2 linked regions of the Canis lupus familiaris genome follow. The protein of the gene in region 1 purifies or fractionates together with the protein of each later gene. This does not show direct contact. Links are inferred from orthologs where the notes say so. Each region holds a gene or a part of one and is shown on either strand. Other genes may lie near its edges.

Region 1 (3,748 bases):
TAGCACATTACCAACACTGTTGGAAGTTTCCTGTGTGCCACCGCACCCCACCCCCAGATACGGTCGGAATTAGCAAGATTATTTCACGACTTTCTCCAACAAAGGTAATTTCTAAAGCCTGACCTATTTGCTCCCTGATACAATTTAAGGTGGTTAAGAAGTCCTTCTACTTCGTATTTGACGAACTGAGCGCGTTCAAGGCACGTTATCTCCCTGTCCCCGTGCCCACTTCTCACAGCTGACCAAACCACGAGCTGGTTTGAACGCTGTCCTGAGGAAAGGATGAAAAGAAAAGCGTCCCGGACAACCCAACCCACTCGGTTTTCAAAAGCGGTTGCTAGACAATGCAGGTAACTCCAGAGGGCACTGAAGAGAAAAATCCGCCACTATCCTACTGTGGCAGGAGCATCAGCAGATCTTTAGAGTGCCGTTCCCCTCAAAACTTCAATGCACATGGAGGTAACGGCCTCAGTCCCCACAATCCAAGAGGCAGAGAGCGCGCTGACAGTGGCTGGATGCCCCAGAGAAACACGAGTCCCGGGAAGCAGCTTTCCGACTGCCCTTTTTGCAGCCAGGTTGCGGGCGTGCTGCGGGCCTCGCCACGGGGTTCTTCTCTCCACACCCCAAGATCTCGCTAGATGGCCTCTAGGAGGGGGACCCAGAGCGGGGCCAAGAAACCCACGGAACCGCCGACTGCGACTGGGTGTCTGTCACCAGCCCCGCCGGCAGCCCAGACCCAGGGAGTCCAGCCGGAGGATTCGAGATAAAAGGCCTAGGAGCGTCCGGCGGACTTAAAGGGTTTCAGTCCACACACACCCGGGCTCCGGGCCGAGACTCACCAGCCTCTGAGCCGGCCATGTCACGGAGGCAGGTCGCTGCCGGACTTCCAGCTGGGCGCGAGGCGGACGGCGTCCGGGAAGGGCCGCACAGCGCAGACGCAACGCCGAGGTGGGGGGAGAACGAAACGAAAGGGCAGGGGGTGAAAGAGGGAGGGACGTTAAAACGGCTTCTTGCTGCTGATTGGTCATCACGGGAGGACTTCCTTTCGCAGCACGCGCCCAGGCGGCGGTTTGTGGGCTCTAGGTACCATTCTCCGCGGGCAAGATCCCGCTGAGGGATTCTCAGGTGGGTGGATTTGACAGGCCGGGTCACCCAGCGGCCCTGGCCGGCCTCCCGGGGGCAATAGTACGGCACTTCCGGCGAGCTATTTCGTTTCGTATTCCTCCGCCGACGCCAAGTGGAGAAGTAGTGCGGTCCGCTTACCCGATGGGCGGGAGCAGTCACGTGACAATGTCAGGCTCCGCCTTCCCGTCTCACTTGGTTAGGGGCGTGAAGGCTCTTCGGAGACGTAAACATCTCCAAGTGGGCTGAGTGGGTTGGTCTGTGCTGGCCATTTTGTCGGCAGGGCTAGACCTGGGAAAGGGCGGGGTGGCTTCCTTGAGGTGTGGAAAGACGAGAAAAAGGTGAAGAACACAGAGTAGGCTAAGGCGTCTCAGTGCGGGTGGGCCCAGCCGTGAAAGGGGCCCCAAGCCGGCGACTCTGAGGGAAGCGGAGGGTGGGGGTGGGGCGAGAACATGGCGGATCCCGGAACGCCGGCGGGCGTTGCGGCCTCTGCGCAGGGGCGGGGTGATTAGGTCATAGAGCGGCTCCCAGCATTCTCCGCGGCGGAGGAGGCGGTCCAGGCTATAAAACCGGCTGCCGGGACGCGGCCGGCACCTCATTCATTTCCACCGGTCTCTTGTCGAGCAGCTCCGGCCCCTGTCATCGCCGCCCCGCTGCCGCTGCCGCCCCCGCAAGGCTTTGCCATCGCCAAAGCCACCTGCAGCGACTCGTCGCACCCGATTCTCTTTACTTCGTTCCCCGCCAACCGCAACCATTGACGCCATGTCGGGTTATTCGAGTGACCGAGACCGCGGCCGGGATCGAGGGTGAGTGTGGGAACGGACTTGTCAGGCCCGGCAGTGGGGGATGGGAGGCCGATGAAGGAGGCGGCGGGCGGGGGCGATGGACAGTCGGCTTTTTCCGGCTATATTTAACCTTTACGAATCGAAGGCTTGCGCCATTTTGATATTTGTCCGGAACTGACAGAGGGATGTTTCCCTGTTAACGGTCCTCAAGCTCGCCTTTTGTTGGTGGGGGGATGGGGGAGGCGCCGAAGCCCCCGCCCCCGCCGACTGAGCAGCTGTTGGGGACAATTCGGGGGAGTGTATTTCAATGGTTGGAAAGCGCGACGCTTTCAGGAGAACGAAGTCACCGCTGTTCGGTGCATCTTTTCGGGAAGTGTTGTAGGGGCCCCGGGAGTTCTGTGGTAATCGAAGGGGTCGCCTCACGAGCCATTGATGGCGCGGGAGCAGGAGGGCGGCCGGCACCGCGGGAATCGGCCATGTGGCTGAGCCGCGGGTACAAAATGCCGGCGCCGGACATGGCGGCGGCGCCTTTGTTACCCCGCCCGGCGGAGGAGCTCAAAATGGCAGCGTCGAGAAAATGTGGCGCAGAGAGAAATGCGAGACAAAGGGGGAAGCGCCGCCCCAGCGGGAACGCCGCCCGGTCCGGGACTCCTCCCCCGGTAGTTGCCAGCTCCTCCTCCTCTTTTTCTTTGCGTTATATAATTTTGCTATCTTGATGAGGAGCCCTCCGGGGGGATCCCCCCAATTCGATGGGCTTGCATAAATGTCTCTGAGACCACCGTCCTTGTTCTGTTCTCGTTGGTGCTGTCCCATTATTCCTTAGAACCAAAGCTGCTTGGCTTGGAAAGAGCTGATAATAACATTGCTGTTACGCACCTCCCTTGTATTGTCTCTCCCCCAGACATTTAATGCCTAAGCTCACGGGAAAGACTAGGAGCCACAAGCTGTTGTCTATCCTTGTAATCTGAACATGGGGCGTTTGGGCAGCCAATTTCCGACCTGATAAATCCCGGGCTGTTGATTTGGCTTCAATAGTGTGTATTTGGGACAACGGAAAGTGAGAGAGATGGTGCTAATTGTGGCTTTTGAGAGCATGACCCATCACTAAGGACAGTGCTAAGTCTTAAACCTCGAAAAGTCTTTCATTTATCTGTACTGTGTGTCAAGGGACAATAAATAGTCTGTATGTAAACGTCTTAGTAGGTAGTTGAAAATATAACTTTTTTGTTTTAATTTCAGGTTTGGTGCACCTCGATTTGGGGGAAGTAGGGCAGGGCCCCTATCTGGAAAGAAGTTTGGAAACCCTGGGGAGAAATTAGTCAAAAAGAAGTGGAATCTTGATGAGCTGCCCAAATTTGAGAAGAATTTTTATCAAGAACACCCTGATTTGGCTAGGCGCACAGCAGTGAGTAATTTCACAGGGCTTCCTTGGGCTGTAACTCAACAGTGACTTTTAGTAAACAGAAATTTGAACAGAGGCCTTGGAAAACTCATATTTTCTGATAGTCGAGGAAGAGGAGGTGCTTTGGCAAGTGGTATCTTTGAATTTTTCTGTTTAGAGTGGTTAAATATAACTACAATAGATGGATCTTGTGCTCTGTAGGTTTTCTATATGTGGATATAGATTTTAAATGGCCCGTTACAGTTTGCTAATCCTTGATAAACTTAAGGCCTGCTGACTGCATATTGGTGAAGGTTGTTATGGTACTTAGTAGGTTATTAAAATTTGTTTTATAGCAAGAGGTGGAGACATACAGAAGGAGTAAGGAAATTACGGTTAGAGGTCACAACTGCCCAAAGCCAGTTCTGAATTTTTATGAAGCAAACTTCCCTGGTAAGTG
Region 2 (3,648 bases), on another chromosome or scaffold:
TGTCTATGAATTCTTTCCACAGAGATTCGGGCACTTATAGGGTACCTCATTTTCAACACAGACTTAAAATTATCAACTTAACCACTAGGTTCCAGATGACTCTCGGTCATCCTGCCCCACTGTCCCCAGATCATATGCTTCCTTAGAATGAAGGTTTGTTGCCATTAAGGATATCTAAAGAATGTAATTTATGATTCAGCAGGCCTATTAAAACAGCTGGTTTTATTGCATTTCAGATTCTCCTACTTTTTTTCTGAGATGTCTGTCTGTCCTTTTCCTTAGGTACCAGAAACTGTGGAAGAGTTATGTGAAACTTCGCCACCTCCTAGCAAATAGTCCCAAAGTTAAACAAACTGACAAACAGAAGCTGGCACAAAGAGAGGTTGGTATCAAATCCTGTTCTTCTGGGATTAATGTTGATGTGTTTCATGTTTATTTCAAGATTATTGCATTATACCATACTTCTAGAATAAAATGGAAAAACACTTTTAAAAATACACTTTTCTTTCCTCACATTAGTATACAGATTGATATTTTTTTCATCTTTTAGTATCTAGAGGAGCATTATCACCACCACCACCACCACCACACCAAAAAAGGCCTCTTTCTTAATGGATTCCTACCATTGGGAATAAATATATCTTATAGAGATTTTTCAAATTTTAAAATTGCTGGGTCAACCTTTTATTGTTAATTAGACTGTACATAACACAACTTGGGTCTTGCTCAAATTTCTTGTACTTAAGGTCGTAAAAGATTGCCTTTCATATGTCTTCCATATGTCTGTTAGTTTAGTAGGGTAAACTTCTTTCATAAGGTTTTATGTCCCAAAGTCCATATTTTTTACTAATGGGTAGTATTATCCCTGTACTCCAGGATCATTTTTAAGAATAAATCAATTCAGTATCAACATAAATTTTGTTTCATTGAGGTTTTATTTTGCTTTGGGCAGTGTTAGAGAGCAAGGCTTTGAAGCTGGGAAAAGTGTTTGAATTCTGGTCCAGTCACTTCCTGTGACTTGAGCCAGATAGCTTCATTATAAAGAGAGAACTAGATTAAGGGAGGATGACTGAAATTTGTTTCTGTTGGTGCATCTGGGAAAAAAAGGTGGTTGTGTGGACTTCTGAAATACTCCGTTTAACTTTCCTCCGATGGTGTTTGATCTGTAGTAGGCATTTAATGAGGCAGGTGGTGTGATAGTTCCTGTTGTTATGAACTCTTATGAGATTTTTATTGAATAAGTGTACAAATATAAAATTATTTTTATAATTAATTATTTGAAGGGAGGTAAAAGGGAAGAGTCAGCTCCTTTATATCTTGCAGAAGTTTTAAATCATTGTCTTTTTTAAATAAAAAGGTACCCTTGCTGCAAGAGGTTTTGTAAGGGTTTTGCAAATGAGAAGACAGCTTTTAGAATTATGTGGGTTGCAGATTAGTTTACTGATTGTCTTTCTTAGATGTAAATGCTTAACATAAGGCTTGATATAAATATAATTTTTACATGCTGATTTTAAGTCTCAAACATCACATGTTGTTTCTTTTATCAGCAAAGGGGCATTTTTTGTTTGAACTCACCAGAATGGTCGATTTGGTTTAGATTTTTTCATATCTAGGTACCAGGAAAGGCTGGCATATACCCAAGGCTTTGAGCATCCTGGCCTTCATTTCAAATAAAATATTATAATTTAACATGAAGAGGTTTGAATACCTGAATGTAAGGGTGATATTGAATGAATCCAGCTTATTTTCCAATGCTTGATGTTTGGCTTAATATTGCTTTACAGCTGTCAGTTTACTCATCATAATGAGTTCTTTTCTAGGAAGCACTCCAAAAAATACGACAGAAGAATACAATGAGGCGAGAAGTAACAGTGGAGCTAAGTAGTCAAGGATTTTGGAAAACTGGCATCCGTTCTGATGTCTGTCAGGTGATGACGCCTCTAAGAACACATTTATACCTATATATCTCTTTAAAAGGCATCTGCCACTGAAGTTTTCCTAATGCGGATGAGATGAGTTGCTACAGAACATACAATCTTGTAGCTAAATGGAACACCAACCATAAATTGTTTTCTATTGTTTGGGTTTTGTTTTTGTGTCAGTTTTCATCTTGTTTAGCTGTGTGTGTGTGTGCGTGTGTGTGCCCCTGCATGAATGCATGCATACATGTGCACGGTGGTAGGATGAGTTGGGGGGCAGTTACTTAGTAATGCTAAATTCTGTCTCTGCCTGTTGAGTGAAGGCAAGTGTGTTTTTCAAATGCATCTGCCTGTGTGCAATGCGTGTGGGCGCTTGTCAAAAGAGCGATTCCAGCAGCTGTACAGGCAGACTCCTGAAGATGATGTGTACAGACTTTCCAGACTGATGAGTCAAACTTACATTGCAGAGAACTGAAGGCATTAATGAACAAAATCAGTATGAATTTCATATTTGAGTCAAATGATAACAGATTTTTTCCTTAGATGAACTAATAGAGGAACATTTCAACTATATATAACTCTCACTAATAACTATTTTTGTTTTCCCTATGAGTGGAATTTATAATATATTAGAGACCCCTAAAACCCAACATATTCTCTGACTCTTCACTCAATTCTCTTGTTATGATTGATACTGGTTGTGCTCCATGGGAATTATAGTAAAGGCGAGGAGGTCACCCAGGCAGGGGTCAGGTCAGGTAGTGTAGTGTGCCATGTTCAGCCTTTGGGAAGAATGCTTACAGGCTTCCACTCACTCTTGTTTTGTGTAGCATGTGTTTGGTAATACGTTCAAGCAGTCTTGGGTATTTATTTCATCATAATGAGGTATTTTTTCTTTAAGTCAGTGTTGGCATTTAATTATTATATTGAACAGTGGGATTTAATCTTATTATTAAAGGTACTGCTAGGTGATTCATTTACATTGTGATTCCAGAGCTATATATTTTTGTGTTAAGATGGACTACTGTTGATGCCATGTTACTAGATGGAGAATTAATTCTCTATAGTGGCAGCCAGCTGTATCTACCAAGTTGTCAGTTATTTTGCTAACTGACCAATTTTTTTTTTTTAATTTTTTACTCTAAGTATTCAGAAATGAGTATCTTCTGCTGATTTTTTCTTAGGACCTTGACGCTATATTATCTAATTTTTATTTTCCTCCAAAACAAACATAATGTCATCCTAAGGTAGACAGCATAAGAATGATGAGCAGAGGGTGCCTGGGTGGCTCAGTTAAGCCTCTGCCTTTGGCTCAGGTCATGATTCCCAGGATCCCTGCTCAGTGAGGGGCCTGCTTCTCCCTCTCCTTCTGCCCCTCCCTTCTGCTTGTGATCTCTCTCTCTCTCTCTCATCTTTCTCTTTCCTTCTCAAATAAATAAATAAAATCTTAAAACAAAACCATGAGCAGAATGTTCAACAATCTGCTCAAAATCTGGTCCTCTCAATGATAAGTCAGAGTTGATAGAGACATCATAAAATTGTAGAGCATTATTAACTGGAAGGGACCTTAGAGATCTTTCAGCTCAGTGAATTTTAAACTTGTGTTTTTGGTTAACTTTGAACTTTTTTTTAAAAACAAAATTCTGTAGAGCCCTAATTTGTAAAAAGATAAAAAAAAATAACTGATTGGTGGGTGGTGGGTATGGAGGGAGTTCTCCCGTTGTACTTG

Evidence for each region. The genes of interacting proteins can lie anywhere in the genome.
Region 2: the proteins of DDX5 (region 1) and DROSHA purify together in Homo sapiens (co-immunoprecipitation; 4 studies listed by BioGRID and IntAct, with this or other methods). This does not show direct contact. The link is inferred for Canis lupus familiaris from reciprocal best matches to the Homo sapiens genes DDX5 and DROSHA.

The regions. Positions count from the first base shown.
Region 1 is NC_049230.1:14,616,351-14,620,098, forward strand, and holds the start of DDX5 (probable ATP-dependent RNA helicase DDX5), read left to right. Parts: upstream 1-1,097; 5' UTR 1,098-1,125; exon of another isoform or gene 1,126-1,569; intron 1,570-1,749; 5' UTR 1,750-1,884; coding exon 1,885-1,928; intron 1,929-3,146; coding exon 3,147-3,312; intron 3,313-3,644; coding exon 3,645-3,741; intron 3,742-3,748. Other genes in the region: CEP95 (centrosomal protein of 95 kDa), read right to left, coding at 840-858. UniProt on the Homo sapiens protein: Involved in the alternative regulation of pre-mRNA splicing; its RNA helicase activity is necessary for increasing tau exon 10 inclusion and occurs in a RBM4-dependent manner. Binds to the tau pre-mRNA in the stem-loop region downstream of exon 10.
Region 2 is NC_049225.1:76,748,442-76,752,089, forward strand, and holds part of DROSHA (ribonuclease 3), read left to right. Parts: intron 1-282; coding exon 283-382; intron 383-1,820; coding exon 1,821-1,928; intron 1,929-3,648. UniProt on the Homo sapiens protein: Ribonuclease III double-stranded (ds) RNA-specific endoribonuclease that is involved in the initial step of microRNA (miRNA) biogenesis.